Linked DNA regions of Macaca mulatta. Each later gene encodes a partner of the first gene's protein in a complex. Links are inferred from orthologs where the notes say so. Each region holds a gene or a part of one and is shown on either strand. Other genes may lie near its edges.

Evidence for each region.
Region 2: the proteins of POLA1 (region 1) and PRIM1 are in contact, whole or in part, in a cryo-EM structure (PDB 7OPL), measured with the Homo sapiens proteins. The link is inferred for Macaca mulatta from reciprocal best matches to the Homo sapiens genes POLA1 and PRIM1. Residues at the interface, in NP_058633.2 of Homo sapiens: Tyr439, Ala440, Pro447, Glu448, Lys449, Ser450, Phe876, Thr877, Thr878, Gln880, Leu906; in NP_000937.1 of Homo sapiens: Asn92, Thr93, Val94, Lys95, Leu96, Gly97, Ala98.

Annotation. Positions count from the first base shown.
Region 1 is NC_133426.1:24,558,473-24,562,647, reverse strand, and holds part of POLA1 (DNA polymerase alpha catalytic subunit), read right to left. Parts: coding exon 4,083-4,175; intron 2,969-4,082; exon of another isoform or gene 2,839-2,968; intron 1,992-2,838; coding exon 1,867-1,991; intron 1-1,866. UniProt on the Homo sapiens protein: Catalytic subunit of the DNA polymerase alpha complex (also known as the alpha DNA polymerase-primase complex) which plays an essential role in the initiation of DNA synthesis.
Region 2 is NC_133416.1:63,911,809-63,915,983, forward strand, and holds part of PRIM1 (DNA primase small subunit), read right to left. Parts: intron 2,293-4,175; coding exon 2,223-2,292; intron 1,455-2,222; coding exon 1,363-1,454; intron 1-1,362. UniProt on the Homo sapiens protein: Catalytic subunit of the DNA primase complex and component of the DNA polymerase alpha complex (also known as the alpha DNA polymerase-primase complex - primosome/replisome) which play an essential role in the initiation of DNA synthesis.

The DNA.
Region 1 (4,175 bases):
CATTTCTAAAAAGTAATACATATATATCCCTTAACATTTATGTAGTACCTTTTACCTACAAATTGCTATGCAATCGACAGAAGAATAGCAACATTTCAGAAAAGCAACCAGCAGTCTTCTTATATTAAAATTTACAGGAGGAAAAAGCAGGGGAAGCATTAGACCATTTTTCTCAAGCCTCCATTAATTCTATTAACAGCTACAAAGAAAAAAGCCAGGCACATTTGCCCTTTCAAAGGTTCAGAAATAAAAATAAACCTCTTGGTTTAAAGTACATCAAGTCAATGCCATTTGATAACCTAGCCTTTACAAAGCATCTGATTTTATAGAGATCAATATCTTCAAGTGAACGCTCTTACAATAGTAATAGGGACCTATTGTTTTCGAATATAAGATGATGATAGTAAATCTATTAAAGAGATCCTGGTACACATTCCAATTTATTTACAGCAACTATGAAAGTCAGATAAAAAGTAAACTGAAAGGATGTAGAGTCAGGAAATTTACAATCTACTCCTAGCTCTACAACTACTACCTGTGTGACCCTAACTGTCCTGAGGTACCATGCATGAAAATGATTCAGATCTATAAATTGCTACATGTATAGTATTTCTTAGATGACCTCTGAGGTCCCTTCCAACTCCAAAATGATTCTATTTTTTTTTTTTTTTTGAGACGGAGTCTCGCTCTGTTGCCCACGCTGGAGTGCAGTGGCACAATCTGGGCTCACTGCAAGCTCCGCCTCCTGAGTAGCTGGGACTACAGGCGCCCACCACCACGCCCGGCTAATTTTTTGTATTTTTAGTAGAGACAGGGTTTCACTGTGTTAGCCAGGATGGTCTCGATCTCCTGACCTCGTGATCCACCCGCCTTGGCCTCCCACAGTGCTGGGATTACAGGCGTGAGCCACCGCGCCCGGCCTCAAAATGATTCTATTATATATCCAGAATCCAAGCTGTAAAGCTCCAATAAGCAAAATGGTGGTGGGCAGAGGCTAAATAATATTAATTATCACCATGCTGGCACAGTAGCAGAGCAGAGCTCAAATATTAATTGAATGCAGTCATACCTTTTGGGGATGTCTACCCAGTATCTTCTCTGTAAAAGTATCCACTAGTCCCACAGAAAGGCCCACCCTTAGCAGCCAGATTTGTACCCTGTGAACCTACTCTTGTGGTCACAGGTAACAGGGACCTGGGGCGCTAACCAACCTAGGCAAACCTATCGGATTCTCTCTTCTGGGAATATGAAATTGAGATTGAAAAACAGGTCCTAAGCTTGTGGTGAGAACTAAAGGACATATAAATTCAGGAGCTAGAGGGCAACCAGACATCTTCTGCCATGTATTTAAAAAAATTACAAAAAAGAACAAAATGTTGTATATGTATATACACCTACACATACACCACACATGCATATAAAATGGAATATTATTCAGCAACACAAACGAATAAAGTACTAGTACATTCTACAAAATGGATGAACCTTGAAAACATTATAAGTGAAATAAGCCAGATACCGAAAGGCCATATATTGTATGATTCTATTTATGAGATGTCCAGAATACACAAATCTATACAAGCAAAAAGATTAGTAGTTGCCTAGAGATGGAAGGGATAGGGGATTGAGGGAGGTGACAGCTAAAAGGTTTATTTGGGGAATAATGAAAATATCCTAAAACTGGTTGTGATGATGGCTGCAAACTCTGGGAATACACTAAAAGCCACTGAACTACACACTTTTAACAGGTGAATTATCTGGTATATGAATAATACCACAATAAAACTATTTTAAAAAGACACAGATCTTCCTTCTTTAAGCAATTCTTTTAAACTCGATTTCAAGAGTCCCAGGTTAAATACAAACCTCTGTAACTTTCTGTGCCTCTGAAGCAACTCTTTGTACTGTTGTAAAACAAATGTTAAATTCCTGAATGATGGAAGGATATAGACTGTTGAAGTCCAGAAGCAAAATGAACTTATCATAAAAACCTGAAATTAAAAAGCCACGTCATAAAAAGTCTAAAGAAAAGCAGAATTGTCAAAACATCATTATTAAAAGCACTATAAGTATATTAGAAACTACATACTATCCACATACACTATCCAGAGCTGTGAGACAGACAAAAAGGGAAAAAAAGAATCAACTACTGTTCTATAAAATAATGCGAATTAGTGAAAAGCCAGATCACAAAAGAGGGAGAAAAAGATCCTGTCTCTCTTTAGAACCAGCTACAACCAGTCCTTTCCCCAGCTGCCCCCAAAGCACACCATTATCATGAGCAAATACCTTCCCAATCAGGTATCTGAGAGGTGTCACATCCATTTAAAAAAAAAAAAGTTCAACTCTCCTTCAAAGCAAGAATTCTTTGAAGAATTCCCCTACCTACTCTCCCACTCCCACCCCAAATAAAACCAAGTGAGTGGTTTGTTTGTTTGTTTATTTATCTATTTATTTGAGACGGAGTCTTACTCTGTCTCCAGGATGGAGTGCCGTGGCGCAATCTCGGCTCACTGCAACCTCCGCCTCCCGGGTTCAAGCGACTCCCCTGCCTCAGCCTCCCGAATAGCTGGGACTACAGGCGTGCACCACCATGCCCGGCTAATTTTTTGTATTTTAGTAGACATGGGGTTTCACCATGTTGGCCAGGATGGTCTCGATCTCCTGACCTCATGATCTGCCTGACTCAGCCTCCCAAAGTGCTGGGATTACAGGTGTGAGCCACCATGCCTGGCCGAGTAATTTATTCTTTTACAACAGCTTCAAAATATAAAATGGACAGCACACTTAAACCTGTACAAAAACTGAGCTAAAATCAAACAAGAGACACATATATATAAATGTCAGTAGTGGAACGACCCACCCTTTTTACTTGCAAAGGATGAACAGAAAGCTACTATATTTCTGTAGGACATTTACAAAGAGTTATCTTCACCTTGAGAAGAAACTGAATAAAAATAAATGTCCACTATTAAGACAGTAATAATTGCAAACACATAAGATAGTTTATTCTGTGTCCAGTGTCATACTAATTTATCCTTAAATCCCTGTGTGGTAGATATTACTCTTATCTCTATTTTACAGAAGAAACTGAAGCTTACAGAGGTTAAACAGGCAGTCCAAGATCACACTGAATTCAAACCCAGACCTACATAACACCAAGTACTAGTGCTCCATTTCATTATAACTAATAATAAAATCACTTTTGTCAAAAATGTCTCCTATTCAGAATTAACTTACTGGATAAAATTCACATTAATTCCTTCACAACAATGTGAATATTCTTAACACTACTACTGAACTGTACACTTGGGAATGGATGAAATGGTTTTTTTTAATACAAAAAATTAGCTGGGTATGGTGGCACACACCTGTAGTCCCAGCGACTTAGGACGCTGAGGCAGGAGGATCACTTGAACCCAAGAGGTGAAGGCTGAAGTGAGTAGAGATCACACCACTGCACTCCAGCCTCGGCAACAGAGTAAAACTCTGTCTCCAAAAAAAAAAAAAAGTTTTTTATTTTTATTTTTTTAAAGATTATTTCTAGCTCTGTGTACCACAAAACATCTTTGCCATTCATGACAATAGGGAAAAGGTATTCTGTTAAAGTTAAATTTGGTGGTTATTGTCTGTATTCTTTAACTTTGCTGTCAACTGAACTGGTCAGGACAAACAGCTATCTATGTACTGGACAGCTACCTATCTATTGGACAAACTACGCTTACAGACCAAACCCAACCTACTGCTTATTTTTGTACCATCCATGAGCTTAAGTATGGTTTTTACATTTTTAAATGGCTGGAAAAAAATCAAAAACAGTATTTCATGACCTATGAAAACTATATGAAATTTAAATCTCAATGTCTATAAATATTTCATTGGAACACAGCATAACAAAATTCACATTAAGTCTATGTCAGGTGACTGGCAACCAAGATTTTCACATGAATGAAAGATAAAAGTCATGAGACCTATTTGCTGACCTGTAAGATATAATTCAGGTCTTCTAGTTTCTCAAGCCTAGATCCACATTAAGAAACTCCTTAATATTGGGAGAAAACCAATTCACTGCCCAGCCTTACCAACTTTGGGGTCCAAAACCAAGCCTCCAGCATAAGCTGCTTTCTTACGTCCTTTCTTATATTTATTGGTATCTCCATCAATTTCTTCATCTT
Region 2 (4,175 bases), on another chromosome or scaffold:
GTTAGCAAGCATTACTCTCTGAGCTCTGCCTTATGTTAGATCAGCAGAAGCACTAAATTCTCATAGGAGCATGAACCCTATTGTGAACTGCGCATGTGAGGGATCTAGGTTGTGCACTCCTTATCAGAATCTAATGCCTGATGATTTGAGGTAAAAAAGTTTCATCCTGGAACCATCCCCAACTCCTCCCCATCTCTTTGAAGTCCGTGCAAAAATTGTCTTCCACAAAACCAGTCCCTGATGCCAAAAAGGTTGGGAAGTGCTGCTATGCAGCATCTCTCTCTCTCTCTTTTTTTTTTTTTTGAGACGGAGTTTCACTCTTGTTGCCCAGGCTGGAATGCAATGGCGCGATCTTGGCTCACCACAACCTCCACCTCCCGGGTTCAAGCAATTCTCCTGCCTCTGCCTTCCAAGCAGCTGGGATTATAGGCATGTGCCACCACACCTGGCTAATTTTGTATTTTTTGGATAGACGGGGTTTCTCCATGTTGGTCAGGCTGGTCTTGAACTCATGACCTCAGGTGATCTGCCCACCTGGGCCTCCCAAAGTGCTGGGATTACAGGTGTGAGCCACCGTGCCTGGCCTGCAGTATCTCTTAGGTGTTAGATTTGCCTTCCATTAGCAAGAAGATATAGAAATTCCTTAGCTTCTTCAAATTCTTGTCTTTTTTTTTTTGAGACAGTCTCCCTCTGTTGCCCAGGATGGAGTGCAGTGGCACAATCTTGGCTCACTGCAACCTCTGCCTCCTGGGTTCAACCGATTCTTCTGCCTCAACTTCCTGGCTAGCTGGGATTACAGGCGCCTTCCACTACACCTGGTTAATTTTTGTATATTTAGCAGAGACGGGGTTTCACCATGTTGCCAGGCTGGTCTTGAACTCCTGAGCTCAAGTGATCCGCCTGCCTCGGCCTCCCAAAATGCTGGGATTATAGGCATGAACCACTGCGCCCAGCCAGCTTCTTCAAATTCTTGAATATACAACTCGGTAAACAGTTTAGACATGTTTACCATAAAACCCACCTATATGCATCAGAAACAAAGAGCAAAAGTACTGCATATATAATAGTTGTTAAATAAATAGGTGGTGAATCTCAGAGACTGATTATTCATACTTATTGATAGTTTAATCTTACAGTATAGATCCTAGCATTTAGAAGTTGTTTAGGAAATATGTGTTGAATCAGACTGGATTCAGTAACACCACTTGGGTAACTGCTGAAGAAAGGACACAAACATTGTATGCAGTTCCAGGACAAATGCTGATCCATTCTGGCTGAATCAGAGAATTAATTATTGGAGTGACAGATGGATATCTATATAAAAACCCTGTATTAAAGTGAAGCTTCAATATATTATCTTACCTCTGGTTCTATGTTTGACATCAGATTCAGCTTCATTCTCCTCTTTTTCCTCTTCATTAATGGAAATGGCATCCAATTCACGGCAGATGAAGCTGCAAGTAACAGAACAAGATAATTTTTTTTTTTTTTTTTTGAGATGGAATCTCGCTCTGTTGCCAGGCTGGACTGCAGTGGTGCAATCTTGGCTCACTGCAACCTCTGCCTCCCAGGTTCAAGCGATTCTCCTGCCTCAGCCTCCCGAGTAGCTGGGACTACAGGCATGTGCCACCAAGCCCAGATAATTTTTGTATTTTTAGTAGAGATGGGGTTTTACAATGTTGGCCAGGATGGTCTCGATCTCTTGACCTTGTGATCCGCCCACCCTGCCCTCCCAAAGTGTTGGGATTATAGGCATGAGCCACCGTGCCTGGCCACGAACAAGAGAAGTTTAATGTTGGTTTCTGGTCAGCATTATCCAGTGTATAATAGCATGTGAATCCCATAAAATTTACTGTAAAAAAATTATGTGGTCAACTTAAATTTGGGATATTCTAAACAGCATGATCTCTTCTTGGAGTTTTTCATGCATATTATCATATGAAAGACTGTGAAATACTGTAGTAAAAGATACTTTTAATCTGTTTAAGTCAGAATTTCCTAAATTTATTTGACCTTAAAATCTTTTTCTTATGTAACAGCAGGTGAAAAGCTTGTATTGTTCTATTAGGGCATCATCATCTAACCTTTGAACCTTATTTGGTTTCCCTAACCAAATATACCATTCCCATGCAACTAATTCTCTAAGAAGGAGGCTAATCCAATTTATTTAAAATTCAGAACAACAATTACAAACAAGGAGTGATCAATGATTTGAAACATACCTTATGGTTGGAACAGTAAATGGATCAAACTGGTCCACTTTCTGCAAATCAATAGGCACAGATATGCGACCTGTAAGAAGCAAAAGTTATAAACTGATGATTGTGGACTATAAATCATTATAGGCTCTCCTATAAGTTATTTTTCGTCAAATTTTTTTTTTTTTTTTTTTTTTTTTTTTTTTTTTTTGAGGCAGAGTTTCACTCTTGTTGCCCAGGCTGGAGTGCAATGGCAAGATCTCGGCTCACCACAACCTCCACCTCCCAGGTTCAAGCAATTCTTCTGCCTCAGCTTCCCTAGTAGCTGGGATTATAGGCATGTGCCACCAGGCCCAGCTAATTTTTTGTATTTTTAGTAGAGACGAGGTTTCTCCATGTTGGTCAGGCTGGTCTCGAACTCCCGACCTCAGGTGATCCACTCGCTTTGGCCTCCCAAAGTGCTGGGATTACAGGCGTGAGCCACTGTGCCCAGCCTAAAATTTTTTATCTAAGGCTTAGACAAAGGGTTAAACTTATCTGTTAAGAACCGTATTTAGAAATATAAATTAAAGTACTTTCACATTAGCTGTGCCCTTACTTTTTTTTAGAGTTAAGGTCTCACTTTGTCACCTATGCTGGAGTATAGTAGCATGGTCATAGCTCACTGCAGGCTTGAAGTCCTGGGCTCAAGTGATCCTCCCACCTCAGTTGTCTCCCAAAGTGCTGGAATTATAGATGTGAGCTACTGCACCTGGCCTGGCCAGTTTTTCAATTTTTGTTGAGTTGGGGTCTCACTGTGTTGCCCAGGCTGGCCTTGAACTTCTGGCCTCAAATAATCCTCTTGCCTCAGCCTCCTGAGTTGCTAGGATTACAGGTGTGAACCACCATGTCCAGCATGCCTTTTACTTCTCTTTAGAAAACAACTGGCCAGGTGCAGCGGCTCACACCTGTAATCCCAGCACTTTGGGAGGCCGAGGAGGGTGGATCACGAGGTCAGGAGGTCAGGACCAGCCTGGCCAAGATGGTGAAACCCCGTCTCTACTAAAAATACAAAAATTAGCCAGGCGTGATGGCGGGTGCCTATAATCCCAGCTACTTGGGAGGGAGAGGCAGAGAATTGCTTCAACCTGGGAGGCGGTGGTTGCAGTGAGCCAAGATCACGCCACTGCATTCCAGCCTGGGTGACAGAGCGAGACTCTGTCTCGAAAAAAAAAAAAACCAAAAACACCAAAAAGCAAATGTGAAGACTGTTTCAATAAGAGCTATTTCCCAGTTGCTCTTATCCCTACTTTTATTTCTATATTTAGAAATAAAGTATATTTAAATATTCCATATTTAAGTTCAGGACAATCTCAGATTTAATAAGTCCTGAAAATAGAACAAAATAGATGGAAATATTATATTTACATTAGCTTAGTTTTTTTTAATTGAGATCAATACAGATGCCCACATGTCAGATACCTTTAAAAAGCATTCTGGAAATAAAATAGAAATTATTCTACTCTTTTAACCCCTCCTAGGATACCATACAGAATTTAACATATCTCAAAAATGACATGAGGCTGGGTGCAGTGGCTCATGTCTGTAATCTCAGCACTTTGGGAGACTGGGGCAGGTGAATTGCTTGACCTCAAGAGTTCAAGACCATCCTGGGCAATATGGCAAAACCCTGTCTACAAAATATTAGCTGGCTGTGGTAGCATGTGCCTGTAGTACCAGCTACTCAGGAGGGTGAGGCAGAAGGATTGCTTGAGTTTGGGTGATTGAGCCTTCAGTGAGCCGAGACTGCATCAGTGTACTCCAGCCTGGGTGACAGAGTGAGATTCTGTCTCGAAAAAAAAATTTTTTGTTTTTGTCAGTGCTAGGGAGTAGAGTTCATTGCATTTCTTTCTTTTTTTCTTTTTTTTGTGAGACAAGGTCTCACTCTGTCGCCCAGACTGGAATGCAGTGGCACCATCACAGCTCACTGCAGCCTTA